4 linked regions of the Anolis sagrei genome follow. The protein of the gene in region 3 purifies or fractionates together with the protein of the main gene of each other region. This does not show direct contact. Links are inferred from orthologs where the notes say so. Each region holds a gene or a part of one and is shown on either strand. Other genes may lie near its edges. The genes, in order: TARBP2, DHX9, AGO2 and GEMIN4.

What was found.
Region 1: the proteins of AGO2 (region 3) and TARBP2 purify together in Homo sapiens (co-immunoprecipitation; 10 studies listed by BioGRID and IntAct, with this or other methods). This does not show direct contact. The link is inferred for Anolis sagrei from reciprocal best matches to the Homo sapiens genes AGO2 and TARBP2.
Region 2: the proteins of AGO2 (region 3) and DHX9 purify together in Homo sapiens (affinity purification with western blotting; 5 studies listed by BioGRID and IntAct, with this or other methods). This does not show direct contact. The link is inferred for Anolis sagrei from reciprocal best matches to the Homo sapiens genes AGO2 and DHX9.
Region 4: the proteins of AGO2 (region 3) and GEMIN4 purify together in Homo sapiens (affinity purification with western blotting; 4 studies listed by BioGRID and IntAct, with this or other methods). This does not show direct contact. The link is inferred for Anolis sagrei from reciprocal best matches to the Homo sapiens genes AGO2 and GEMIN4.

Annotation. Positions count from the first base shown.
Region 1 is NC_090022.1:190,334,380-190,341,835, forward strand, and holds the start of TARBP2 (RISC-loading complex subunit TARBP2), read right to left. Parts: upstream 3,012-7,456; 5' UTR 2,929-3,011; coding exon 2,867-2,928; intron 1-2,866. UniProt on the Homo sapiens protein: Required for formation of the RNA induced silencing complex (RISC). Component of the RISC loading complex (RLC), also known as the micro-RNA (miRNA) loading complex (miRLC), which is composed of DICER1, AGO2 and TARBP2.
Region 2 is NC_090024.1:123,122,608-123,130,627, forward strand, and holds the start of DHX9 (ATP-dependent RNA helicase A), read right to left. Parts: upstream 3,011-8,020; 5' UTR 2,862-3,010; intron 1-2,861. UniProt on the Homo sapiens protein: Multifunctional ATP-dependent nucleic acid helicase that unwinds DNA and RNA in a 3' to 5' direction and that plays important roles in many processes, such as DNA replication, transcriptional activation, post-transcriptional RNA regulation, mRNA translation and RNA-mediated gene silencing.
Region 3 is NC_090024.1:10,974,264-10,981,558, forward strand, and holds the start of AGO2 (protein argonaute-2), read left to right. Parts: upstream 1-4,289; 5' UTR 4,290-4,498; coding exon 4,499-4,547; intron 4,548-7,295.
Region 4 is NC_090031.1:35,279,639-35,287,260, reverse strand, and holds the start of GEMIN4 (gem-associated protein 4), read left to right. Parts: upstream 1-4,610; 5' UTR 4,611-4,692; coding exon 4,693-4,702; intron 4,703-6,429; coding exon 6,430-7,622. Other genes in the region: GLOD4 (glyoxalase domain-containing protein 4), read left to right, coding at 364-429. UniProt on the Homo sapiens protein: The SMN complex catalyzes the assembly of small nuclear ribonucleoproteins (snRNPs), the building blocks of the spliceosome, and thereby plays an important role in the splicing of cellular pre-mRNAs.

The sequences.
Region 1 (7,456 bases), on a different chromosome or scaffold from region 3:
AGTTGTAATCCAAAAATGGGAACTTTTCCATGTTCTGATTCAAGAGGTATGTTGATTTTTTTTTGTACAATACAGCAATAAAGAGCTATAAGTTCTGTGTTTTACATCAAAATGAGTGAGCAAAAGGGCCTAGTTTTATATAGATTGGATAGAAAAATTATCTGACAAACTGCAGTTCTATTTAAGCCCCGTGATGAAGTATGCCAGACTTTGAAATGTTGCACAACCCCACTCCCACTATGTACAAGTGTCTTTGTAAACATGCATAGACATATCCAAGCAATTTGGATCTGTTGCAGAGGGAAAAGTGAGGTATATACTAAATTAATAGATCAGAAAACAACTCTCTCCCCTCCTGTATTCTTTCTTATGTCACATAGAATCCACTGCACTCATAGCAAAAGGATTTCACCCCTCCCCTCTCTTTTAGAGAGGATTGGTTGCTTTCAAGTCCCTTCAAGTCCACGTCTTAAGTCACGAGAGGTGAAATGAACTGGACACTGTACATGGCTGTTGTGTACAGAGTGAGGCAAAAATCATCTATTAGATATATTTAATCATACAGTCACCTCTCCATGTTTTGTGGATTTACTTCTGTGGATTTTTCATGGATTTGATTTGAAATGTTCTCTCTAGGAGTCTCTAGGTCCTCCAGTCTGACTTCATGATCAACTCCCTCCAGTCCTGCTGGAGCACCCAAAGATTTCCAGAAAGAGTCTCTCTAGGAATGTCTAGATAGGAGCTTTCCAAACATTTCATGTTGATGACACACTTTTTAGACAGGCATCATTTTGTGACCCAGTTTTACTAGCATACTGGAGGTTACATCAACCTTGCACAATAAATAAGGACACATATATACACTGTAATAATGAAATGTATGGAGACACAACGTATATCATGAAAAACTTTCCTTTATATTTTTGAAATATATTATTTATTGCTTATTTTGCATAAACTCAGAGATTTTTCATTACATTTGTGCAACACAGCTACACACTGCAGCCAACACATTAACATGTTGCAACACACCTCTGCTTTAGATCCTCCTATGAAGTTCTATTATCAGCTTTTAGCAAAAGATGACTGTAAAGTCATGCTGGAAGACCTAGAAATCCCTAGAATTTTTTTTAATTTCTTAAATTTAAACAAATTTGTCCAAGTCTTCTCATAGGGCCCTTCCACATAGCCAAATAACCCACAATATCTGGTTTGAACTAGGTTATCTGAGTCCACATTGCCATATAATCCAGTTCGAAGTGGATTTTATACAGCTGTGTAGAAGGGGCCTTTGAGGAAAAATATATAGTAATTTCTTTATTTATGGTTTTTCACTTTCACGGGCTCCTGTGCCCCTAACTCCAGGAAATACAGAGGACTGCAATACAACTTTGTAATGTATTTATTTATTTACCACATTTATAGCCTGCCCTTCTCAACCCCGAAGGGGACTCAGGGCAGCCTTACGAAGGCAACAATTCAATGTCATATATTAATACATTGGTAAATATACAAAAATATTAAAACCAAACCCATTAAAAACATGACATTAAAACACCAATTAAAATCACATGTAATAATTGTAATGTAACAACAACAACAAAAATAAATAAATAAATGAGTGAAACATGTTTTTCACCATTGGTCCCTGCCAATGGACTTCTGCTTCATGTGTTTTGGCTCCTTTCCTCTTTGCTTTAGCCTCACAAATGACTAACCCAAGGTCACCCAGACCCCTTCTACACTACCATATAATCTAGTTGAAAGCAGATGATCTGGATTTTATATGGTAGTGTAGAAGGGGTCCCACTGAGCTCCAGGGATGCATCTACATAGCAGAATTAATGTGGTTTGGTCTCACTGGAATTGCCCGGGCTCTGGACCCCTTCATACAGCCATATAACACAGAATATCAAGGCAGATAATCCACAATTATGGAGCCCATGGTGGCGCAGTGGGTTAAACCCCTGTGCCGGCAGGACCGAAGACCGACAGGTCGCAGGTTCGAATCTGGGAAGAGCGCGGATGAGTTCCCTCTATCAGCTCCAGCTCCTCACGTGGGGACATGGGAGAAGCCTCCCACAAGGATGATAACACATCAAAACATCCAGGCGTCCCCTGGGCAACGTCCTTGCAGACAGCCAATTCTCTTACACCAGAAGTGACTTGCAGTTTCTCAAGTTGCTCCTGACACAACAAAAAAAATTACGCAATATCTGCTTTGAACTGGGTTATCTGAGGGGCCTAGGCCTTTCCACACACCCATATATCCCAGAATATCAAGGCAGAAAATCTTACAATATCTGCCCCTTCCACACAGCTGAATAAAACCACACATTTTCTGCTTTAAACTGGAATATATAGCAGTGTGGACTCAGATAACCCAGTTCAAAGCAGATATTGTGGGTTTTTTTCTGCCTTGATATAGGGTTTAGTGGAAGGGCCCATAGACTGAATGGGAGTGTGGACTCAGCTAACCCAATTCAAAGCAGATATTGTAGGTTATTCTGCCTTGATATTCTGGATTATATGTCTATGTGGAAGGGCCCTAACTTATCTGAGTCCACACTGCCATATATTCCAGTTCACAGCAGATAATGTGGGATTTCATGTGGGTGTGCTCTGTGGGGACCTGAATCCGCATCTCCCAGATTTTAGGGGATGGGAAGAAGGCTGCCTCTGAACCTCTCTAACCAATGGCAGGGAACAGGCCTAAATAAAGAGGGCGACCCCACGGGGGCCTTCCCGCTCTCCTAGCAACGCGTTACTAAGTGGGGCCTCGCGGGCACGGGTGTAGCCTAGCAACGGCGTTCCAAAGGGGCGGGGCGTGTCCCCTGGCAACAAACCCGCGCGGCGCGTCCTTCACCTGCCGCCGCCGCCGCCGCTCCTCGCGTTCCCGCAAGGCTCCTCCGCCTCCTCCTCGCTCATTCCCTCCTCCTGCCCCGCCGCCGCCACCACAACGCTTGCCGCCCTCCAGCCCGGCTGACAATGGCCGGGAAAGAGGAAGCCACGGCCCCGCGTCGCCTCCACCGCCTCCACGCCCGGCGAGGCGCATCCTGGAAGATGGAGTCCGCACCCGGCTCCCGGCCCTCGAGCCACATCAGCTGAAGAACTACAACACCCACAAGGCCTTTCGGCCGCGGAGAGCGGCTTTTCTCAGTGTCGACGCGCGAAACTCGTTCGCGCTGCATGCTGGGAGTAGTAGTCTCCTAAGCGTGTAACTCAGGCATGGGCAAACTTGGGCCCTCCAGGTGTTTTGGACTTCAACTCCCACAATTCCTAACAGCCGATAGGCTGTTAGGAATTGTGGGAGTTGAAGTCCAAAACACCTGGAGGGCCCAAGTTTGCCCATGCCTGCTGTAATTTATTAGCCAGGATTCGTTGCCTAATTGGAGATTAAGAAATGCAGTTTGAGACCACTGGAACTGCCAGGGCTGGATGCTATAGAGTCCTGGGAGTTATAGTTTGGTGAGGCACCAGCCCTCTTTGGCAGAGAAGCCTCAAAGGACAATTCTGAGCCATGGAAGTGCAAGTGCATGAATTAGGGCCTCCCCACACTTGAGGATCATAATAAATTGTGGCACGTTCTTGATGGTATGGGCATACCAAATCACCTTATCTTTCTCCTGAGGAATCTGTATAAGGACCAAGTAGCAACAGTCAGAACTGAGTGACCATGGAACAACAGACTGGTTCAAGATTGGGAAAGGCGTACGGCAGGGTTGTCTACTCGCACCCAACCTATTCAACTTGCATGCAGAACACATCATGCAATGTGCAGGGCTTGACGAATGCAAGGCTGGGGTAAAAATTGCTGGAAGAAACATTAACAACCTTAGGGTGGTGACGGCCGACAGGGAGCTCTGGCGTGGGCTGGTCCATGAGGTCACGAAGAGTCATAAATGACTGAATGAATGAACAACAACAAAACACACTTGAGCATTTGTCCACTTTAGTCCACTTTAAATGCTATGACTGCTTCAAGCAGAATTATTGGGCTTGCAGTTTAGGGAGGCCCAGGGCTTCTCTGGATGAGCAGTTTAAAAGCCCACTCCCTAAACTACAAATCCCAGAATTCTGCAGGAGGCAGTCGCAGTATTTAAAGTGGATTAAAGTGGATAAATGCTCAAGTGCGAGGAGACCTTTCGATGCACCCTGATGAGAGAGACGTAGTTTTAAAGGGGTATTTTCAGGGATGCTTCCAATGTCCCATATTGTCCTGATTTATTTATTTATTTAAAACATTTATATTCCGCCCTTCTCACCCAGAAGGGGACTCAGGGTAGAGCACAGCATATATATGGCAAACATGCAATGCCGGGACAAGATTTCATTATATGCATACATAAACATTAAAAAAAACATTTATTTCAATATTAAAAAAAACACTATTTAAAACCAGAGATTCTGCGTCTGGGGAGAACAAACAGTGGAAGACATTGAACATTTCTTAATTGACTGTCCAGCATACATTGAACTGCGAGACAGATATTTACATCCAATATTATCCAACTGCAGGTCCCCCAACAGAAATGATATTCTGACATCCCTCTTGAAGGTCAGGAAAGATCCAACATAATCAGAGTAAGCCTTTTTATTCTGAAAGCTATTAAGAAAAGAGCAGATTTCTTGAAAGAAGAACCAGACTTATCACCTTGTTGCCTTGTTTTTTTACTTGTGTTCTATTTTGAAATGGTCATATGACTGATCAAATAAATAAATATTATTATTATTATTACTATTTAAAATCGTCTTGGTCATCTGCGCCAAATCTAATTGGCCGGTAAAATTTCCTATTGCTTTATTGCCCTGTCCCGAAAGCTTGGTCCCACAGCCAAGTTTTTACCATCCTTCTGAAGGACAGGAGGGAGGGGCCCGATCTGATCTCACCAGGAAGGGAGTTCTATAGCTGGGGGACCATCACCGAGAAGGCCCTCTCTCTCGTCCCCACCAATCGTGCCTGTGACAATGGTGGAGAGCAGGGCCTTCCCAGAGGATCTTAATCTCCGCGATGGTTCATAGGGGGAGATGTGTTCGGACAGGTACATTGGGCCATGGTCATTTAGGGCTTTGTAGGCCAAAGCCAGCACTTTGAATTGTGCCTGGTAGCAAGCTGGCAGCCAGTGGAGCTGGCGTAACATGGGAGTTGTATGCTCCCTGTATGCCGTCCCATTCCGAGCAGTCTTCAAAGGCAACCCCATGTAGAATGCATTGCAGTAGTCTATCCTGGATGTAACAAGAGTGTGGACCACCATGACTAAGTCTGACTTCCCAAGGTACGGGTGCAACTGGCGTACAAGTTTTAATTGTGCGAAAGCTTCCCTGGCCACCGTTGTAACCTGGGATTCCAGGCTCAGTGATGAGTCCAGGAGAACTCCCAAGCTGCGAACTGCCATATGTGCCTGCTTTTGCAGAGGGCCTTTGTTTGCAGATGGTTTGGAAAAATATTGCTGCAGAGGGTAAGTTACTTTTCAAGGATAACAGTACATCAGGACAAAACTGGCTAGCTAGTTTCCCAATCGAGTTATGCTTGCAACAGAAGAACAGGTAAGACTGATTCATTTAGACAGCCAGAGTTGGAGACCAATAGATTAAAGTTGTGCCATTGTTAAGATCTCATGTGTGTCTTCATGCCTGTCAAAGTCATAGAGAGCCAATGAAATTTGTATTAGCCAGTTTAGACCAATGAAATGATTGATATTTGAACACCAATGAGAATGTGTTTTCAATTTTCTTTGAAAATGATAAAAAGGCCTTGCAACCCCATTTTAGGCTGTGACAAAACCTTTGATTGCATTTCTATATGCATTTTGATGTTATTGCTGTGGCCTACAATAAAAGTCTTTGTAGTAGGAAATTGTGGCCTCCTACTTGCATTGCTTCCTGGGCTTTTGAGTGGACACCTAAGTCGTTTGGAGTGCTAGTTGAGGCTGTGCTCTTGAAACTGAGGACAGACCACAGATTGATTCAGTAGGGCTTCTTCTTATCCCATCTCATTACAGTCTAAATCTTTTCTCCAAATAAAACAAAATGTAATGTGGCCATTCTATAGCCTTATACCTTGGCCCCTTCCACACAGCTGTATAAAATCCCACATCTGCATTGAACTGGGTTATATGACAGTGTGGACTCAGATAACCCAGTTCAAAGCAGATATTGTGGATTATCTACCTTGATATTTTGGGTTATATGGCTGTGTGGAAGAGCCCTGAGTCCACACTGCCATATAATCCAGTTCAAAGCAGATAATCTGGATTCAGGAACTGGATTACAGTGTGGATGGGGCCTTTGTGAACTCCACTGCTCTGACTTTTGAATAATAGGATTGCACTCTATATATAACTGTGCCATGTTGGCTTAGGACATTAAGACTGAGATGCCCTGCCTTAAGCAAAGCAAGATGCAGCCCCTCTTCCCATCTCAAAAGATATTTGAGCTGAAATATAATTGTAGAAAATGATACACTTATTTCTCTCTATTTGGCAGTAAGTATTTGTATTTTAAATATACTGTAAAATAACTAGCTATTTCCTCCCCTTCTGTGATGTCTAAAAACAGAGGCCTAACTCTGATGGATCACCATCATAGGCTGTCACTTGTGACTGAGTATGATTGCCTTCCAAATGTAGGGTCTTAGTGGTGGATCCGTAGGTGACTATAGAGGTATATTCTTGATTGATTTCCAGATGGAAGGCCGTCCCAATAAGGGTTGGCTTTACATGCCTTCCTCTTGGCATGTTTCTCTCTTTCACCCTCCATTCATGCTTCTTCGAATTCCCCAACATTGCTGGTCACAGCTGACCTCCAGTTAGAGCGCTCAAGGGCCAGGGCTTCCTAGTTCCCAGTTAACACAGTTTTTAAGGTTAGCTTTAAGCCCATCTTTAAATTTCTTTTCCTGCCCACCAATGTTATGTTTCCTGTTCTTGAGCTGGGAGTATAATAACTGCTTTGGGAGACAGTGATCAGGGATTCAGACAATGTGGCCAGTCCAGCAGAGTTGATGGCATAGGAGCCATCAACTCTGTTCAATGCTGGTGGTATTTGCTTCTTCTGCTCTCTGGGATTTGTCTGCTTGTCTTCCCAAGAGATTTGCAGGATTTTTCAGAGGCAATGCTGATGTTCCAGGAGTTGCATGTGACATCTGTACACAGTCCACGTTTTTCAGGCATATAGCAGGGTTGGGAGGACAATAGCTTTATAAACAAGCACTTTTATATCTCTAAGGATGTCCTGGTTCTCAATCACTCTCTGCTTCATTCAGAAAAATGCTGCACTTGCAGAGCTCAGGCGATATTTCAGTGTCAATGTTGATTTTTGTGGAGAGGTGGCTGCCAAGGTAGCGGAAATGGTCAACATTTTCTAATGTTACACCATTAAGCTGTATTTCTGGCATTGGAGAGGGATTGGCTGGTGACTGCTGGAAGAGCACTTTGGTTTTCGCGATGTTTAATGACAG
Region 2 (8,020 bases), about 110 Mb from region 3:
CCCTGCATTTCAGGGCCCTTCCACATGGCCATTTAACCAAGAATATCAATGCAGATAATCCACAATATCTGCTTCGAACTGGGTTATTTGAGTCCACACTGCCATATAATTCAGTTCAAAGTGGATTTATACAGCTGTATGGAAGGGGCTTCAGAGAAGGGATACTCTGTCTGCAATAACCCTATAGTATAATATTTGGAAATACAGCTAGAAGAGAATAACTAGGATTGAAGTGTACTTTGGGAAATATAATATAAAATGAGGAAATTGTGGCCCTTAGATGGCTAGGAAATTTAGGCTGGATCTACACTGCCATATAATCCAGATTTTCAAATCAGATAATCCTCATTCTCTCTTTGAACTGGATTATATGAATATACTGCCACATAATCCAGTTCAAAGAAGATAATCTGAATTTTATATGGCAGTGTAGATGGGACCTTAGGATTCAAATACAACAGTCAGCAAAAGATTTGTATTAAAAAACCACACTTATTGGACTGAAACACAGGTGCTTATAATTAAAATGCCTTCTCCATTGCCTTCCCCATCCAATACAAAGCCAACAGCAAACGACTGAAAGGAGGCACGCTTGTCTCTTCTACTCATACCCCTTTTACACGACCATATAACCCACGTTAACTGCTTTGAACTGGATTACATTTTTTTTACACTGCCATATAACCCAGTTCAAAGCAGATAATCTCAATTTTATATGGCAGTGTAGAAGGATTCCCAGATAAATGATACTTTGCTCTTCTCTAAATGCAAAACAGGAAGCCTCACATCAATACAGTAAAACCAAGTATCACTGTTTCCCTCCCAGGCCCCTTCTACACATCTGTATAAAATTCTGATTATCTTTGAACTGGATTATATGGCAATGTAGACTCAAGATAATCCAGTTCAAAGCAGATAATGTGGATTATATATTTTATATTAAATGTAATATTACTAATAATATTACAGGATAATGTTACCGTGCAATGTAATATATAATATTAATATTGTGCTATGATAGCAATATAATATATTGTATTTACTTTTTACTTGTAAGCCATTCTGAGTCCCCTTCGGGGTGAGAAGGGCAACATATAAATGTTGCAAATAAATAAATATTCTGGATTATATGGCAGTGTAGAAGGGCCCCCTCCAAATGTGTCCTATGAGGGGACTTCTTGTCACGCAGTGTCTCCACACAGCCATATAAGCCAGAATATCAAGGCAGAAAATCCCACAATATCTGCTTTGAACTGGGTTCTACACTGCCATATAATCCAGTTCAAAGCACAAAATATGGGATTTTATTCAGTTGTGTGGAAGGGGCCTTTGTGACTTGGTTTTTCTGTCCTGACAGAGCAAACAAGAAAAGCATCCAGGGCCTTTCCACACAGCCATATAATCCAGAAAAATCCACAATATCGGCTTTGAACTGGGTTATTAATCCTCAAGGCCTTTCCACACATAATAATAATAATAATAATAATAATAATAATAAACCTTTATTTGTACCCCGCTACCAAATTAAACATGAGCCAACAATGTGATGTGGTGGCACAGAAAGCCAATGGGATTTTGGCCTGCATCAATAGCATAATGACTAGGTCCAGGGAAGTAATGCTACCCTTCTATTCTGCTTTGGTTAGACCACACCTGCAATATTTTGTCCAATTCTGGGCACCACAATTCAAGGGAGATATTGACAAGCTGGAATGTGTCCAGAGGAGGGTGACTAAAATGATCAAGGGTCTGGAGAACAAGCCCTATGAGGAGCGGCTTAAGGAGCACCCCTGACAGATGGCCATCCAGCCTCTGTTTAAAAGCTTCCAAAGAAGGAGCCTCCACCACACTTCGGGGCAGAGAGTTCCACTGATGAACAGCTCTCACAGTCAGGAAGTTCTTCCTCATGTTCAGATGGAATCTCCTTTCTTGTAGTTTGAAGCCATTGCTTTGCGTCCTAGTCTCCAGGGAAGCAGAAAACAAGCTTGCTCCCTCCTCCCTGTGGCTTCCTCTCACATATTTATACATGGCTATCATATTTATTTATTTATTTCAGTTTTGTATACCAAGCTTCTCAACCTCGTTGAAGGACTCAGCCCTGTTTACAGCCATAAAAACATATACATTCATTAAAATATCATATATCACAAATTACAAAACAACTTTAGAAACACTAAATATAAAACTACAGTGGTCAGTCGTCCTAATAAGATGGATCTATATCCACTTCCATCCAGAGTCCTATGGTGTTGTCTCTTTCCTCGAAGGCCTGACTCCACAGCCACGTCTTCACCCGTTTCCTAATGTTAGGATGGATGGGGCGGTTCTGGCCTCCACAGGGAGAGAGTTCCAGAGTCGTGGGGCCTTCCTCTCAGCCTTCTCTTCTTTAGGCTAAACATGCCCAGCTCCTTAAGCCGCTCCTCATAGGGTTTGTTCTCCAGACCCTTGATCATTTTAGGTTTATTAGTCCTCAGGGCCTTTCCACACAGCCATATAATCCAGAATAATCCACAATGTCGGCTTTGCACAGGGTTATTAGTCCATACGACCATATATTCAAGTTCAATATGGATTTTCTACAGCTGTGTGGAAGGGGTCACAGTTAGGGAAATCCACCCTCTGAGGAAACCTGAGGCCGGCGTATAAAAACCCAGCATGCACAGCTCCAGCCTCCCTCAACTTCTGCGCCTGCGTGTTTTTGCCATAGTCCCTTTACCGGCTCCCTAGTTTCACGCGCATGCGCACTAGCTAAGGCGGGCCGCACTCTGGCGCATGCGCACATTCTCCCCGGCCTTTTCATTCCCCTGCGCCCCTCGTTCCCTCCCTCCTGCTAAGGCTCTGCACCCCAAATATCAACACACCAGAGGCACGCCCGCCACCTAGTCCTGCTGGGGAGAGCTTTGCTTCAAGCGCAAGCCAGCTCCGCAGCCTTCCACCTCGAGCAGCTCTCTTCTTGCCGACGCCAGCTCTCACAGAGTGGCAAGATGGCGGCAACCGCTTCGCGCATGCGTACACCTCACTGCGCCTAGGAAGGCGTGTCTGCACTCAGGGAGGAAAGCGCGCCCCGGGTGGACGGAGGTGGAACTACACTGGTCTCTTCTGCACAACCACTCAGAGATGTAGAATCATAGAATCAAAGAGTTGGAAGAGACCTCATGGGCCATCCAGCCCAACCCCCTGCCAAGAAGCAGAAATATTGCATTCAAATCACGCCTGACAGATGGCCATCCAGCCTCTGTTAAGTCCTGTCTTGTTTCCACAGTGGCCATCCTACTGTTAGTCTCCTGTAGCACGAACAATAGCCAGAAAAGTGCCATAACACTTAACAGTTCTGTACATTTTTAGTGTTTACTAGCCATCCCCTGCGACGCGTAGCTGTGGCCCATATGGGGGTTCTATGTGGGAGGTTTGGCCCAATTCTATCATTGGTGGGGTTCAGAATATTCTGTGATTGTAGATGAACTATAAATCTCAGCAACTACAACTCCCAAATGTCAAGATTCTATTTTCCCCAAACTCCACCAGTGTTCACATTTGGGAATATTGAGTATTCGTGTAGAGTTTGGTCCTGATCCACCATTGTTTGAGTCCACAGTGATCTCTGGATGTAAGTGAACTACAACTCCAAAACCAAAGGACACTGCCCACCAAACCCTTCTGTTGGTCATGGGAGAACTGTGTGCCAAGTTTGGTTCAATTCCATAGTTGGTGGAGTTCAGAATGCTCTTTGATTGTAGGTGAACTATAAATCCCAACAACTACAACTCCCAAATCTCAACATTCTATTTCCCCCAAACTCCACCAGTGTTCACATTTGGGCATATTGAGTATTCGTGTAGAGTTTGGTCCTGATCAATCATTGTTTGAGTCCACAATGATCTCTGGATGTAGGTGAACTACAACTCCAAAACCAAAGGACACTGCCCACTAAACCCTTCTGTTCGTCATGGGAGAACTGTGTGCCAAGTTTGGCTCAATTCCATAGCTGATGGTGTTCAGAATGCTCTTTAACTGTAGGTGAACTATAAATCCCAGCAAAGGCACTGCAGACTACTTCAACCAGAGAAATCAGCCATAGCAGAGCACCTGATGAACCAACAGTATCCAACCTGGACACAGCATTTTATTTGAGAACACAGAACACAGAAATGCTGGACCACTCTCACAACCACCATGTCAGGGTACACAGAGAAGCCATTGAAATCCACAAGCATGTGGACAATTTCAACAGCAAGGAAGAAACCATGAAAATGAACAAAATCTGGCTACCAGTATTAAAAAACTCAAAAATTACAACAGCAAAACAACAGAGAGTAAACAATCAGGCACATCTTAACACCTCTCAACAAAAGATTTTTCCAGGCTCAGCCAGGCCTTCAAATGCTAATGAAGGTGGTCAGTTGAAACATTCACACCTAGCTCCAGCAGGGAAGAGCTCCTTGCCCCACCCCAGCCATTCCACAGATATATTAACCCACTTTCCTATTTCCAACAGACCTCACTACCTCTGAGGATGCTTGCCATAGATGCAGGCGAAACGTCAGGAGAAGTGCCTCTGGAACATGGCCCTATAGCCCGAAAAAACCCACAAGAACCTAGTGCCATAACACTTAACAGTTCTGTATATTTTTAGAGTTTACTAGCCATCTTCTGCCACACGTTGCTGTGGCCCACATGGGTGTTCTGTGTGGGAGGTTTGGTCCAATTGTATCATTGGGGGGTTCAGAACGCTCTGTGATTGTAGGTGAGCTACAACAACTACAACTCCCAAATGTCAAGATTCTATTTTCCCAAAATGGCAAAATAAACTCCCAGTAAATAAAATAGACAAGCTCCCAATAGGTTCCTTAGACAACAGAAAACCCCAGCTATATCGCAACATGCTAAAGAAACTGGAACAAAACGGAATAACAAAGATTGAGGACTTACTAAAACCAGACGGGACTGTAATTCAATGGGAGGAAATAAAAGATAAATGCGGGCATGGAAATTGGTTACAATGGGGAGGGCTGTCTAAAAAGCTAATAGAATTGAAGAATAAGGAAACCTCAGAAACAAATCTCGACAAAATAATAAAATGGAAAGTAGAGAGGGAGAAAGGAATCATGGGATTTATATATAACACAATCACCGAAATACAATACAACACAAAATCTACCCTAATGGAAGTCTGGAAGGAGGAATTAAATTGCAGTGAGAGAGAAATAGACAATTGGATTAATTCAATCAATAAAATAAAACACCTAAAGATTAAAGAAATGCAACGAAAAATATTGACAAAATGGTACAGAACTCCTGTGCAACTGGCGCATATCACAAAAACATGCCCAAAATTATGTTGGCACAACTGTGGTAAAATAGGAACATATGCCCACATGTGGTGGGAATGTGAAAAAATCCAAAAGTTCCAAGAAATAATCAGGAAAGAAATGGAGGAGCTATTAGGGATCAAGATAGAATGGAATAAGGCCCAATTTTTCACTCAGAAATTCGAAAATAAAGAGGAATATAAGGAAAGTGAGGAAATAATAAAACATATGATAGAGGGAATTAAAGCCTCAGTGGCCCTGGGCTGGAAAGACCACAAGAAATGGGATACAAAAACCTGGTACAAATATTTAGCAGATTACCTTCTTCAAGATGATATTAGCGAAAGGAAAAGTTACTATATGACGGGTCAAAGCAAAAAGACATGGAAAGCAAAATGGAAGGGTCTCATATATAGAATAAAGGGGAAAGATAAATATACGGTGTTGAACAAAACTATTCTCATGATTGAACAATTGTAATAAACACAGCTAAAGTATCTATTTGTTCCGGGGGGGGGGGGGGTGTGCTGGTGGCGGGATTGGGGAAAAAACTGGTATTATGAATGTTATTTTCAAAGATGGAATGTTTCTATGTATTATACAATAGTAATTTTGAATGTTATTTTCAAAGATGGAATGTTTCTATGTATTATACAATAGTAATAACAAAATTAAAAAAAAACCTTAAAAAAAATAAAAAAAAACATCTTAAAAAAAAAAAAGATTCTATTTTCCCCAAACTCCACCAGTGTTCACATTTGGGCATATTGAGTATTCGTGTAGAGTTTGGTCCTGATCCATCATTGTTTGAGTCCACAGTGATCTCTGGATGTAGGTGAACTACAACTCCAAAACCAAAGGACACTGCCCACCAAACCCTTCTGTTGGTCATGGGAGAACTGTGTGCTAAGTTTGGTTCAATTCCAGAGTTGGTGGAGTTCAGAATGCTCTTTGATTGTAGGCGAACTATAAATCCCAGCAACTACAACTCCCAAATGACAAAATCAATTTTTTTTAGTGAAGGACATACATTGGATTGTTCGGTGTCTTGTGTCCAAAGTTGGTGTCGATTCGTCCAGTGGTTTTTGAGTACTGTTAATCCCACAAACGAACATTACATTTTTATTTATATAGATTAGATACCATACTTTGAGTAACTTTCCAATGAGGATTGGAAGGAAAAAATGTAGGCAAAGGCATTCGACACAGTGAATTGCAGTGCTATCTCGACCATCCTCCAAAAAATCCGGTGCCCTAACAAATTTGTGAACATCCTGTGGCTCCTCCATGGTTTTTTTTTTCCGTGTCAGGAGCGACTTGAGAAACTGCAAGTCGATTCTGGTTTGAGAGAATTGGCCGTCTGCAAGGACGTTGCCCAGGGGACGCCCAGATGATTTGATGTTTTTGGCTCAGTGGATTAAACCCCTGTGCCAGCAGGTCGCAGGTTCGAATCCGGGGAGAGGTGGATGAGCTCCCTCTGTCAGCTCCAGCTCCCCATGCTGGGACATACATCCTTGCCGCCCTACATGAGAGCCATGTATGACTTAGGGCCTTTTACTCAAGCACTTAAGACCTGGCTTTTTACTAGAGCATTCGATCCCTGTTAATTTTTAATTTTTGTATGTATTTTATCTTTTACAATTTAGCTGTAAATCGCCCAGAGCATTCTTGGATGGAGGGCGATTAATAAGTAATTAAATGATGATGATGATAACATGAGAGAAGCCTCCTCCATGATGACATGATGGCAACAGTCTTGGATAGCAATGGCTCCCAAAGTGACCCATTTAAGGTAGAATCAGGTGTCAAACAGGGATGTGTTATTGCCCCAACCTTATTTTCCATTTTCAATGCTATAATACTTCTTCTTGTTGACGGAAAGCTTCCCACCTGAGTAGAAATCATCTATCGGACAGATGGTAAGCTACAGGTTCTTGTGGGTTTTTTCGGGCTATATGGCCATGTTCTAGAGGCATTTTCTCCTGACGTTTCGCCTGCATCTATGGCAAGCATCCTCAGAGATGGTAAGCTATTTAACCTCAGCAGACTGAAAGCTAAAACCAAGGTTACAACAACATCTGCTATAGAACTTCAATATACTGATGACAACATCATCTGTGCACATTCAGAAGAAGACCTACAAGCCACTCTAACACCTACGCAGAAGCATACAAGAAGCTCGTCTTGTCATTGAACATCGAGAAAACCAAAGTGCTCTTCCAGCAGTCACCAGCCAATCCCTCTCCAATGCCAGAAATACAGCTTAATGGTGTAACATTATATTGCTTTCAATTGTGTTGTTGTTTTATCTGATGTTTTAATTGGTTAAAGTGTTTTACATGTGTGTTTTAATTGTAATCTTGGGGGTGTCCCTTGTAAGCCACACCGAGTCCCCTAGGGGAGATGGTTGGCGGGGTATAAAAATAAAGTTATTATTATTATTATTATTATTATTATATTATAACATTAGAAAATGTTGATCATTTCCGCTACCTTGGCAGCCACCTCTCCACAAACGTCAACATTGACACTGAAATACAACACCGCCTGAGTTCTGCTAGTGCAGCTTTTTTCCAAATAAAGCAGAGTGTTTGAGGACCAGGACATCCGTAGGGATACCAAGGTGCTTGTCTATAAAGCTATTGTCCTCCCAACTCTGTTATACGCCTCCGGGACGTGGATTATCTACAGACATCACATGCAACTCCTAG
Region 3 (7,295 bases):
ACCCCTGACAGATGGCCATCCAGCCTCTGCTTAAAAGCCTCCAAAGAAGGAGCCTCCACCACACTTTCAATTAAAAACCTTATAAGGCAACTTAAAACGTACCAATATACAAAATAAAACAGTATTATCATTATATATTATTGTATATTATCAGTGGTATAATAACTAATATATTAATTAGTGGTATATTAATATTATACCAATTATAATTAATATTCTTATGTATTATTATAATTAATATATTTCTATTATATTGTATAATTATATTGTGAAGATTGTATACATTACAATATTATTTATAATATATGTCTATACAATACAATACAACCAGAGATATGTAGTCACCTACGGATGTGAGAGCTGGACCTTAGGGAAGGCTGAGCGAAGGAACATAGATGCTTTTGAGCTGTGGTGTTGGAGGAAAGTGCTGAGAGTGCCTTGGACTGCGAGAAGATCCAACCAGTCCATCCTCCAGGAAATAAAGCCCGACTGCTCATTGGAGGGAAGGATACCAGAGACAAAGTTGAAGTCCTTTGGCCACATCATGAGGAGACAGCAAAGCCTAGAGAAGACAATGATGCTGGGGAAAGTGGAAGGCAAAAGGAAGAGGGGCCGACCAAGGGCAAGATGGATGGATGGCATCCTTGAAGTGACTGGACTGACCTTGAGGGAGCTGGGGGTGGTAACGGCCGACAGGGAGCTCTGGCGTGGGCTGATCCATGAGGTCACGAAGAGTCGGAGACGAATGAACGAATGAACAACAAAATACAATACAATATTAGTGTTATATATATTATTATATAGTATAATATTGTCTTACTATTAATATAAGTTTATACAGTATATTAGCATAGCACAATATTAGTATTATACTATACGTAGTATATTATACTATATATACGGTGGCGCAGTGGGTTAAAGACCAGGAGGTCTCTTCCAACTCTTTGATTCTATGTAAACCCCACTTGCCTAGTTTCCAATAAATCTCGCAAACTCTGAGGATGCCTGCCCTAGATGCTGGCGAAACGTCAGGAGAAAATGCTTCTGTAACATGGCCATACAGCCCAAAAAACTTACAGCAACCCAGTGAATCTGGCCATGAAAGCCTTCGATAAGACAATAGAATCAAAGAGTTGGCAGAGACCTCATGGGCCATCCAGTTCAACCCCATTCTGCCAAGAAGCAGGAATATTGCATTCAAATCACCCCTGACAGATGGCCATCCAGCCTCTGTTTAAAAGCTTCCAAAGAAGGAGCCTCCACCACACTCCGGGGCAGAGAATTCCACTGCTGAACGGCTCTAATAATAATAATTGTGCAGAAGCCATTGTTATTATGTTTGTGTTTAACTGTTAGAGTATGTATTTTTGTTTGTAACAGTAGCTAAAACTGGAGTCATCTGGTTTGAATCCACAGTGAGCGTTGCCAAGGAGACGAGGCTGGCTAGCTCATGAGAGGGAGAAGTGAGCGGAGCCAAGCAGGAAACGTTATGTGCGTTTTTAAAAAAGGCCAGAGAGTGAGGCTTGGAAAGGCCTGAGAGAGAGGCTTGTGTGTGAGCGGCTGGTGTTTTTTCAGTCTAGGAGGGCTGAAGAAACCTGGCCAGATTCTTTAGTCAAAGAAGACAAACGGAAGCCTAGTTAAGATCCCTAGTTAAGGAAGGACTAGAGATCAGAGATTTGATCGAGGGAAGATCAAATTGAAAGGCTATTTGTAGTAGTGAAACATTGTTCACTAGAGAGCTTCACTTCAGTGAAAGTTAGCCACAAGCTGTGTTATTTATTTATTTATTTATTTATTTACTGTGCTTATATACCGCTGTTCTCAGCCCGGGGGCGACTCACAGCGGTGTACAACATAGAGAGGACAGGGTGCAAATTACAAGACACAATCTAAAATCAATCTAGCAATAACAAAAAACATCGTCATCAACAACATCAACAATATCAATAATACAAAAAGCCATTTGCGTCGTCTCATCGTTAAACCACAATCCAGTATCATTTTCCGTTGTTCCATTCCTGTCGTCATTACCAATTATTGCACTTCTTGTTCGAACGCCTTCTTGAACAGGCAGGTCTTTAGTTTCCTGTGGAATATCATCAGGGAAGGAGCCAGTCTGATGTCCATGGGAAGGGTGTTCCACAGCCGAGGAGCCACCACCAAGAAGGCCCTGTCTCTTGTCCCCGCCAGGTGTGCCTGTGAGGCAGGCGGGATCGAGAGCAGGGCCTCCCCGGACGATCTCAAAGTCCCCGTGGGCTCGTAGGCCAAGATGCGGTCATATAAGTATCTTGGGCTGGAACCGTTTATCTGGAAGAGTGGACTGTATTATAAACCACATGATGTTCAAAGTTCCATAAGTTATTTAACAGCCTGCAACTATAAGCTTTGTACACAATAAAGTTGTTATCTTTGTTGAAAACCGTCTCATCTCAACTAATCTGCGTCTGTAGAGCCAGATCTCATCGGTGGTACCTCAAACTGTTGGTGGCCGTTACCTTAATTTACAAATAATAATTGGCCTCCTCCATAATATTCTCTTCTACACCATTGAGGCCTGAGGTAAATTCCCTCCATAACACCCACATCTGTACAGTTGGTGGCAGCGGTGAGATTAAAAAGTGCCTGAGGTAAAATACTTCCATTATTAGGACCTCAGCAACACACAAGCACCTCCTCGCAACTGGTGATAGCGGTGGGGATCTTCAAAGCTAAAATCCCTATACCCTGTCCATTGTTGAGTTCACATCTTCCCAATAATAATAATGAGTCTTGTTTTCTATTTGTTTCGTGTGAGCGAAAAGCAGGCCCACTTGAGGGTGGCTCCGAGGCGGGAAACCCTGAGGAGGGTTGTTTGAGGGAAGAGAAGGCCGCATCTCTGAGGGCGAGGCCTGGTGGAAGTCCTGAGGCAAGAGCGGCCTCCCTCCCTCCTTCCTTTCTATGACTATATATATATTTATTATTTATTTATTTATTAATGCACTTGTATACCGCTAATATCTCAGCCTAAATCGGCGACTCATTGCGGTTTACAACATTTAAAAAACAATATTCAGTTAAAAGCATAAAACACATATACAGTACAAATTATTGGGCCACCAATAACAATCCTATGCATCTCATAACTGGAATCGTAATCCAAAATTCATCGTCCGTGTATAACCAATCCTTAGTCATCACAATTCGTTACAACGGATTAACCGAATGCTTGTTTAAACATCCATGTCTTCAATCTTTTCCGAAACACCATCAGCGAAGGGGCTGATCGTACCTCTATGGGGAGGGTGTTCCAAAGCCGGGGGGCCACCACAGAAAAGGCCCTATCTCTCGTCCCCGCCAGCCGAGCTTGAGAAGCAGGCGGGATCGAGAGCAGGGTCTCCCCGGAAGATCTCAAACTCCTGGTGGGTTCATAGGCAGAGATGCAGTCAGATAGGTAGCTTGGGCCGGAACCGTTTAGGGCTTTAAAGGCCAACGCCAGCACTTTGAATTCAGCCCGGTAGCAGATCGGTAGCCAGTGGAGTTGGCGCAACAGGGGGGTTGTATATATATAATCATAATAATAATACTACAGTGTGTGTGTATATATATATATATAGTAAGCCGCTCTGAGTCCCCTTCGGGGTGAACAATAATAATAATAATAAAAAATTATTCGGGGTGAATAATAATAAATAATAAATAAGGGGACTCAGAGCGGCTTATATATATACATAGTGTGTGTGTGTATATATATATATAACGATAATACAGTATATGAACTTGGATGTGTCTATGGACAACGCCAGCTTTTTGGCTTTGAAATGGAGATGTGTCTGACTCGGGGTTGGTGCTCATCTCAATTTCAAAGCCGAAAAGCCGGCGTTGTCCACAGACACATCCAAGTTCATGTGGCCTGCATGACTGCCTGGAGCCCTGTTACCTGCAACCAGCCAGGTATTGAAGCTGCAAGGCTATTCAATGTGAGTCAAGGAAGCCAACTGAAACACTCACACTTGCCCCAAACAGACAAAATAATGCTTTCTTCCACCCTGGACCTCAATCCACAGATTCCAGCCATGAAAGCCTTCGACCAGACAATAATAATAATAATAATAATAATAATAATAATAATGAGTCTTGTTTGTATTTGTTTCGTGTGAGGGGAAAGCAGGCCCACTTGAGGGCGGCTCCGAGGCGGGAAACCCTGAGGAGGCTTCTTTGAGGGAAGAGGAGGCCGCATCTCTGAGGGCGAGGCCTAGTGGAAGGCCTGAGGCGAGAGCGGCCTCCCTCCCTCCTTGCGTGGCTCCTCCTCCTCCCGCTTCCCTCCGCCTCTTCCCTCCGCCTCCTCCGTCTCTCTGGGCCTGAGGCCGCCTGGCCCGGGGACTCCTTCCCTCCTCGGTCGGGGAGAGAAGCAGAACGACGACGAGGAGGAGGAGGCGGCCCAGGAGGAGGCGGCGGGTTCCCACCGTCCCTCAAGAAGGAGAAGGAGAAGCAGAAGCAGCAGCCGAGTCTCCACTCCGCCATGTATTCCGCGGGGGGCTCTTCCCCCGTCGCGGGAGCCGCCGGGCCCGGTGAGAAGCAACTTTGTGGAGCCTTATTTACAGATTTGGGGAAACGAGGCCTAGTGGGGAGCACGAGGCGCCGCTAACAGTAGGAGGGAGAGCGGGGGGGGGGGAGGGGGGAGTTTCTGAAGCTCAGCACGCGCCTATGCTTTTGCCTGCCCGCCCGCCTTGCTGCCCTTACCCTTTTGGGCCTCTGCGCTCGCCGTCGTTTTTGGCCGCCTTCTCTCTCTCTCTCTCATTTGAAGCCTGCCTCCCCTGAAATGGCCCCACATCAGGGCCCCTGCGGAAGAGGCTGCTTTCCCACCATTATTGGCACCCACAAAGGCCACAGGAGGGTATTGAGAATCATGGGTATCATCTACAGCAGGCCTGGGCCAACTTGGGCCCTTCAGGTGTTTTGGACTACAACTCCCACCATCCCTAACAGCCATGCAGGCGAAACGTCAGGAGAGAATGCCTCTAGAACATGGTAGGCTGTTAGGGATGGTGGGAGTTGTAGTCCAAAACACCTGAAGGGCCCAAGTTGGCCCAGGCCTGCCACAATCCACAACTACGTAATCCTAACCTAATTATTATAATTATAAAATAATACTATGTTATATATAATAATACTTTATGGTATACTGTATTATTATTATTATTATTATTATTATAGTGGATAATAATAACAACCGAATTATTATTATAAAATAATACTTTATTATATATAATAATACTTTATGGTATACTGTATTATTATTATTATTGTGGATAATAATAACAACCTAATTATTGTTATAAAATAATACTTAATTATATATAATAATACTTTATGGTATACTGTATTATTATTATTATTATTGTGGATAATAACAACCTAATTATTATTCTAAAATAATACTATATTATATATTATAATACTTTACAGTATACTGTATTATTATTATTATTATTATTATTATTATTGTGGATAATAATAACAACCTAATTATTATAAAATAATACTATATTATATATAGTAATACTTTATGGTATACTTTATTATTATTATTATTGTGGATAATAATGACCTAATTATAAAGTAATACTATATTATATATAATAATACGTTATGGTATACTGTATTATTATTATTATTATTATTATTGTGGATAATAATAACAACCTAATTATTATTATAAAATAATACTTTATTATATATAATAATACTTTATGGTATATTGTATTATTATTATTGTGGACAATTTCAACAGAAAAGAGGAGACCATGGAAATGAACAAAATCTGGCTACCGGTATTATAAAAAAACTCTAAAATTACAACAGCAGAGAGGAAACAACCAGGCACATCTTAACACCTCTCAACAAAAGATTCTCCCAGGCTCAGCCAGGCCTTCAAATGCTAATGAAGGTGGTCAGTTGAAACATTCACACCTAGCTCCAGCAGAGAAGAGCTGTTTGCCCCATCCCGGCCATTCCACAGATATATAAACCCATTCTCCTAACTCCAACAGACCTCACTACCTCTGAGGATGCTTGCCATAGATGCAGGCAAAACGTCAGGAGGGAATGCCTCTAGAACATGGTAGGCTGTTAGGGATGGTGGGAGTTGTAGTCCAAAACACCTGAAGGGCCCAAGTTGGCCCAGACCTGCCATAATCCACAACTACGTAATCCTAACCTAATTAGTATTATTATAAAATAATACTATGTTATATATAATAATACTTTACGGTATACTGTATTATTATTGTTATTGTGGATAATAATAACAACCTAATTATTATTATAAAATAATACTTTATTATATATAATAATACTTTAGGGTATACTGTATTATTATTATTATTATTATTATTATTATTATTGTGGAGAATAATAACAACCTAATTATTATTATAAAATAATACTATATTATATATAATAATACTTTATGGTATACATTATTATTATTATTATTATTATTATTGTGGATAATAATAACAGCCTAATTATTATAATAAAATAATACTATATTATATATAATAATACTTTATGGTATACATTATTATTATTATTATTGTGGATAATAATAACCTAATTATTATTATAAAATAATACCTTATTATATATAATAATACTTTATGGTATATTGTATTATTATTATTGTGGACAATTTCAACAGAAAAGAGGAGACCATGGAAATGAACAAAATCTGGCTACCGGTATTAAAAAAAAACTCTAAAATTACAACAGCACAACAGCAGAGAGGAAACAACCAGGCACATCTTAACACCTCTCAACAAAAGATTCTCCCAGGCTCAGCCAGGCCTTCAAATTCCAATGAAGGTGGTCAGTTGAAACATTCACACCTACCTCCAGCAGAGAAGAGCTCTTTGCCCCACCCCGGCCATTCCACAGATATATAAACCCTTTTTCCTAACTCCAACAGACCTAATGTAATGCAATATAATACTACTACTAATAATATGATATTATAATTATATATTTATATTACATGTAATATTACTTATAATATTACAGTCTAATTGATATAGTGCAATATAGCAATGTTTAAAACTGATGTTGTACTAGTTAATAATATATTGTACGTATATATACCTTTTAAGCCGCTCTGAGTCCCCTTCGGGGTGAGAAGGGCGGCATATAAATGCCGTAAACAAACAAACAAATAAATAAATAAATCCCAGCAACTACAACTCCCAAATGTCAAGATTTTAGTTTCCCCAAACTCCACCAGTGTTCACATTTGGGCATATTGAGTATTCGTGTAGAGCAGT
Region 4 (7,622 bases), on a different chromosome or scaffold from region 3:
TAAACTTCCAGCTGCAGAAAATCCTGCCGATTGCCAGGCCAACAATTCAAGCCTGGGTTGGGGTGAGCTCCCAAGTGTCAGCCCAGCTTCTGCTCACCTAGCAGTTCAAAAACAGCAATGTGAGTAGATAAATAGGTACCGCTTTGGCGGGGAGGTAATCAAAGGCGCCCATAAGGACATGCTGTCGATTCGTTTGCCGTATATGTGTACTGTAATCCGCCCTGAGTCCCCTCGGGGAGATAGGACTGAATATAAATAAAGTTGTTTATTATTATTATTATTATTATTATTATTATTATTATTATAGGAGGTGTTTGGCATGGAGACTGAATAATAATAAGAATAGTCTTTCTCTTTCCGTAGAGTATGGCAGCCGACAAAAGCCAGGAGTGGTTTGCAAAGCACAACATCCCTAAACCTTCTGCCTGAAAGGAAAAGCCATGTATGGCTGCTTGGAAATACATTCCAGTGGATGCCTTCCGCCTCGAATGCAAGCGCCATCTATTCGGCGTTGGTTCGAAGGCTTCAGAGTCCGGTGCCCTCCGTCTGGTGTTTGCCAAATCAATGTATTGCCTTGGGTTTCATTCTGGGTTTCTTTTCCTCCAAATAAATAATTTCCCGTGAAGAAGAAAATATTATTATTATTATTATTATTATTATTATTATTATTATTATTATTTAATTCTATGTTATATGATAATATATATTACACAAAAACTATTATTATTCTGTCTATATAAATAAAAATGTCATGTTTGTTTGTGGGATTAACAGAACTCCAAAACCACTGGACGAATTCACACAAAATTTTGACAGAATACACCTAACAGTCCAATGAGTGTTGATCACTCCTAAAAATACAAAAACCCTCAGCAGAACGGACTTAAAAACCCCCAAAAATACACCATATATATATATATATATATATATATATATATATATATATACACACACACACACACACACACATACACACACACACACATATATACACACACATATATATACACATACACTCATATACACATGCACACATACATACACAAACTTGTATATGTATATTATTTATATACACACAAGCACACAGAAATATACACACATACATCTCCATATACACATATATACATGCACACACAAATATACACATGCACACACATATACACAATATACACATATAAATGTACACACATATACACACATCTATGCACACACATATATACACCCACACATACCCCCCACATATATATATCTATATCTATCTATACACACACACACATATACACAGATACACAAATATATACACACATATAAACACATATATACAATATACACATCTACGCACACACATATATACACCCACACATACCCCTCCACACACATATCTTATCTGAATTTATCTATCCATCTATCTATCTATATACACACACAAATATACACATATACACAGATACACAAATATATGCACACCTATACACCTCCACACACATATCTATCTGTATTTATCTATCCGTCTATCTATCTATAATATACACACACAAACACGCATATATACACAGATACACAAATATACACACACATATATACACACACACAAAACACATATATACAGACTGGGCCACAGCAACGCATGGCAGGGGACGGCTAGTAATATATAAAGGAGTCTTTCAACTTCCTGGGTAAAAACCCCCTTCCGAATTTGGGGAGCTCTCAAAAAACAGACCGGGACCCCCATTGAAATCCGGGACGCCGAAACAGATTGCAGTTTGCCCGGATTGCACAAGCATCATCCTAGCCTCGTGTACCAGTTGAAAGACAAAACATTGGGGGACCCTCAGGTTGAGAACCACTGGCCTAGATCCATCCTAGCGCCCCACTGGTGGCCCCCGAGACGGGACGATGGGACTCGGGAGTCCCCTGAAGGAACACAGATAGACCAAGACACTCAAGGTTGCCTTCCTTTCTCAAAGAGTGGGGGGGTTTAATGTCCAGGAGCAGGAGAGGTGGGCTTCGCTCCTTGTCCCCCCTGGGCCCTTCCGCCTTCCTTCTGGGGCCAGACTACAAGGCCCATCATGCCCTCACTGGTGGCTCCAAGGGAGGGGCTTGCGCAGGCGGAGGCGGAGGCAGGCGGTGAGCAGGGCCCCCTCTTTGCGCCCCGAGCAGAGCGAGCGCCGGGAGATCAGGAGGGGGCCCGGGCGGAAGGGGCTGTCCCTGCAGGAAGAGGAGGAGGAGGAGGAATTATTAGTATTATAATATATTATATAATAAGTATATTGTCTTAGTATACTGCTATACTGTAATATATTATTATATATTATATAATTAGTATATTGTATTACATTTTAGTATATTATTAGCATAGCACAATATTAGTATTATATGTTTCTATATTAAACTATACCGCTATACTGTAATATATTAATATATTGTTAGTATATTGTATTACATTTTAGTATATTATTAGCATAGAACAATATTAGTATTATATGTTACTATATTAAACTATACTGCTATACTGTAATATATTATTATATATTATTAGTATATTGTATTACATTTTAGTATATTATCTTATTAGCATAGCACAATATTAGTATTATATGTTACTATACTAAACGATACCACTATACTGTAATATATTATTATATATTATTAGTATATTGTATTATATTTTAGTATATTATATTATTAGCATACCACAATATTAGTATTATATGTTACTATACTAAACGATACCACTATACTGTAATATATTATTATATTGTATTATTAGTATATTGTCTTACGTTTTAGTATATTATCTTATTAGCATAGCACAATATTAGTATTCTATGTTACTATATTAAACTACCACTATACTGTAATATATTATTATATTGTATTATTAGTATATTGTCTTACGATTTAGTATATTATCTTATTAGCATAGCACAATATTAGTATTCTATGTTACTATATTAAACTATATATATTCAGTTAGAATTGATAACAGGAGCCCCCATGGTGCAGTGGGTTAAACCCTTGTGCTGACAGGACTGAGGACTGTAATATATTATTATATATTATATAATTAGTATACTGTATTACATTATATTATTAGCATAGCACAATATTAGTGTTATATGTTACTATATTAAACTATACTGCTATGCTGTAATATATTATTGTATTGTATTATTTATTGTATTACATTTTAGTAAATTATATTATTATCATACCACAATATTAGTATTATATGTTACTATATTAAACAATTCCACTGTACTGTAATATTATTAGAAATATTGCATGTAATATATAATATACAATTATTATAGCATTATAGTGTACTATATTATTATGCCACAACATGTAAAATACACTACCAGTATATTATACTGAACATTATTGTCATTCTTCTCATTATGATTGTATTAATATAATTATTATAATAATAGAAGAATCCCTGCTGGGATCGGAATATTTGATAGAATAATAATAATAGTAGTAGTAATAATAATAATAATAATAATATAAAATGATTCCTGCTGAGACTATGAATATTTTTAATAATAATAATAGAAGAATCCCTGCTGGGATCAAGAATATTTGATATAATAATATATATAGAAACAACAATTGATTTAATAATGTAATACAAAATAATAATAATATAACAATTCATATTATAATAATAATGCAATAATATATATTTAATAACAATGGATATAAAATAATAACAATGTAATATAAAATAATAATATAATAATTGGTATTATAATACTGCAATATAAAATAATATATACCAATAATAATAATAGTAGTAGAACAATACCCTATTATATCTTAATATAATAAAATAATTTGTTTTATTATATTATCATCAAATATAATATATATAATTTATAATAGAGTATAATATATTAATATAAGAATACATATATGAGTATAATATTATAAGAGTATAATATAAGTATAATATATGTATAATATATATTATAATATATTAATATAAGAATATATATTAATGTAATATAATTACCAATTATATTATATTAATATAATTAATATAATTATATTAATAATATTATATTATTAATATAATATAATATATATTATAAGAGTATAATATATTAATATAAGAATATATATTAATGTTATATAATTACTAATTATAGTATAATATAATTAATATTATATTATTAATATAATATAAGTATAATATGTATTATAAGAGTATAATATATTAATATAAGAATATATATTCAAACAATATAATTACTAATATTATCATCATATATTATAATATATAATTTATAATATATAAAATATATTAATATAAGAATCTAATAATAACGATAGTAATGATCATAGAGTAGGCCGACCATGCAGTGTAGGCCGGAAGGGGCGTGGCGTTGTCCGGGCGGGGGGCGGTGTCTCGGAGGAGGCGGCAGAGGAAGCTCTTCCGGCGGAACTTGGCTTTGCGGAACCCCGTCTCGGCGCCGGAAGAAGGGCAAGAAGGGGAGCGGGAAGAGGGCGGAAGTGTGGCGTCAGGCGGAGCCGCGCGCTTTCCACTGCAGCCGCCAGGGGACAAAAAGGTCTCTCCCATCCGGGGCTTTTGTGCCGCGCGGGCTGAGCGCACAATGCCCGCCTCTTCCTCCTCCCCTGCCACACTTCCGCTTCCGGCCCGGAAGAGGGGGAAGGAGAGAGGCAGCCATGCAGCTCGGTGGGTGGGAGATGTAGTTCGCCAAGGGCCACAGAAATATTTCATTTTCTATTTATTTTATTTTTGCTTTTCTACTACTTTTTTCATTTTCATGCCCAGTAATTTTATTTTCTATTATTTATGTCCTTTTTTTCCATTCATAGTTTCCTATTTGTATTTAATTTTTTATTTACTATTTTCTACTTATTTTCTTCTACTTACTTTTTTATTATTACTAATTATTTTATTATTATGTTTCCTGTCTCTTGGTTTATTTTCCATTATTTGTTTGTCATTCTGTATTTCCTACTTTTTTCTATTATTTATTATTTTATCAATTTTTGTTTAATTATTTTTTATTTATGTTTTCTAATTTAGGATCAGCTTTTTCTTTTTCTATTTATTATTACTATTATTATTCTTTTATATTTTCTAATTTTCCTTTTCTATTTATTATTATTATATATTTATGTTTTCTATTTTTCTATTTATGATCACTTTTTCCTTTTCTATTTATTATTATTATTCATTTATTCATGTTTTCTAAATTTCTATTTATGATCACTTTTTCCCCTTTCTATTTATTATTATTCATTTATTTATTTATATTTTCTAATTTTCTATTTTTTCTTTTCTATTTATTATTATTATTTATGTTTTCTATTTTTTATTTATGATCACTTTTTTCCTTTATTATTATTCATTGATTTATTTATATTTTCTAATTTTCTATTTTTTCTTTTCTATTTATTATTATTCGTTTATGTTTTCTATTTTTCTATTTATGATCACTTTTTTCCTTTTCTATTTATTATTATTCATTGATTTATATTTTCTAATTTTTCTTTTCTATTTATTATTATTAATTGATTTATATTTTATAATTTTCTATTTTTGTTTTCTATTTATTATTTTTATTATTTATTTATGTTTTCTAATGTTTTATTTATGATGACTTTTTCCCTTTTCTATTTATTATTATTATTATTATTATTATTATGTTTCTATTTTTCTTTCAGGTGTTTTTTTACCCTCCTGAGATTATTTTGGGGAGTTTTTTTTTAAGTGTTTGAACAGATTTTGGAATTTAATTCTATTTTTTGACATTTATAGGTTGTTGGTCACTATTTTTAAATAAAATGTTGTCATCTTCATGGCATTGAGAGTAATGCTGTGAGTCTCAGTCCAGAGATAAATAAATTGGATATGACTACTACTACTACTATTGGGTTTCTGTGAGTTTTCCAGGCTGTCTCCCATAGATGTGGATGAAATGCCAGGAGAGAATGCTTCTGGAACATGGCCAGACAGCCCAAAAAACTCACAGCAACCCAGTGATTCTGGCCATGAAAGCCTTCGACCAAACATCATTATCAGTCTTTGTATTAGCAATAATAATTGTAAGTAATAATATTGAGGAAAGCTGTCAAGAGATTAAAAAGGATATAATAATTCATAAAATAATAATACAGAAACATAAATATGTATTATATATCATGTAGTGTGTGTATATACACATATATACAATTTAGTTTGCCATGATATGAAAGGATTATCATCCACAATTTTCTATATTATATATTTATAAATTTTATGGTATTCATATATATATATATATATGTATATATGTATATATGTTTATATATATATATAAACATAATTTATAAATATATAGTAGACATCTCCGGGCTGAGGGTTGAGTAGCCCATCCTTCCCTTGAACAGAACGGTCTGTCTCTGTCCCAACAGGGCCGCTGACCATCTGCGGAGAAGTGACCGTCCTGCACGGCGGGTTCCTGCTGGCCTCCCAGCTGTGCCACCCCCGGCCGTTGTCCGAGCTGGCCAAGTCCGACTGGCCCGTGGTGGGGAAGCCCATCCTGGAGGCGCTGGAAGAGATCTGCACCTCCCACTCGTCGTACCCGCCGCAGCCGGACGCCTGGAAGAAGAAAGCGGCGGTCATCCTGTGGTCCAAGGTGCTCTTCTCCGAGGCCCCGGCGGTGTCCCTGAACCAGCGGTGGAAGGACGACGCCTTCTTCTCCGTCAGCAGCATGATCCCGGAGGTCAACCGCACGGTGCTCTTTGAGCTCTTCATGGCGGCCAACGCGCCCCGGCTTTTCACCGAACTTCTCCTGGTTCTTCCGGAGCCGCTTTGCCGGCGGGAACTGGAGGCGCTGGTGGCGTACGTGGCCAAGGAGACCTCTCCGCGCGACGTCCGCTTCTACTTAGACGTGTGGTGGGAGATCATGAAGCACAAGGCCGGCCAGGAAGACCGTCTGACCTTGCTCTTCCGCAACGTCTCCCGGCAGTGTCTCCCGGAGCCGGACGACACAGGTCAGGCCCCGAAGCGCTTCAAGAGCGACGCCCCTCCCTCGACGCATCCCCCCCTCGAGACGAACGTCCTTCCCATCTTAACGGAGGGTTTGAAGCTGATCCAGGGGAGCGTCTGCCCGGCGAAGATGAAGTGTTACGCTCTTGCCAACCTCGTGGACCTTGTGTCCATGTCGCTGGCGGCGTGCGACGCGGAGTCAGTGCCCATCAAGACGTACTTGGTGAAGGTCTCTTCAGTGGTGACGCTTTGGTGCAGCGACTGCGACAACCGCTATAGCAAATCGGAGCTGGACGAGAAGGTGAAGGAGGCTGAGCGGAGCGTGAGTTTGCTCAGCGTGGCTCAGACGTCCAAAGCGTTCTTGCTCATAGATTTGGCTTTTCTCCACGCTTTGTTGGAAGAGTGGTCTACGGAGCTTCAGGATTTCCTCAACGATCCGGAACAGGTCTGCTACGAAAGCTACCGGCTCCTCGATTGCTTGGCGTCGTTGCAGAAGCGGCTGGCGAGGTATGCCGAGTCGGGGGGCGACTTGGAGGACGAGACGGCCAAGGCCGTGGCGCGCCTCTCCGAGCTCGTGGCGGACTTCTTGAAGAGCGTCAGCCTCAAGCCATGCAAC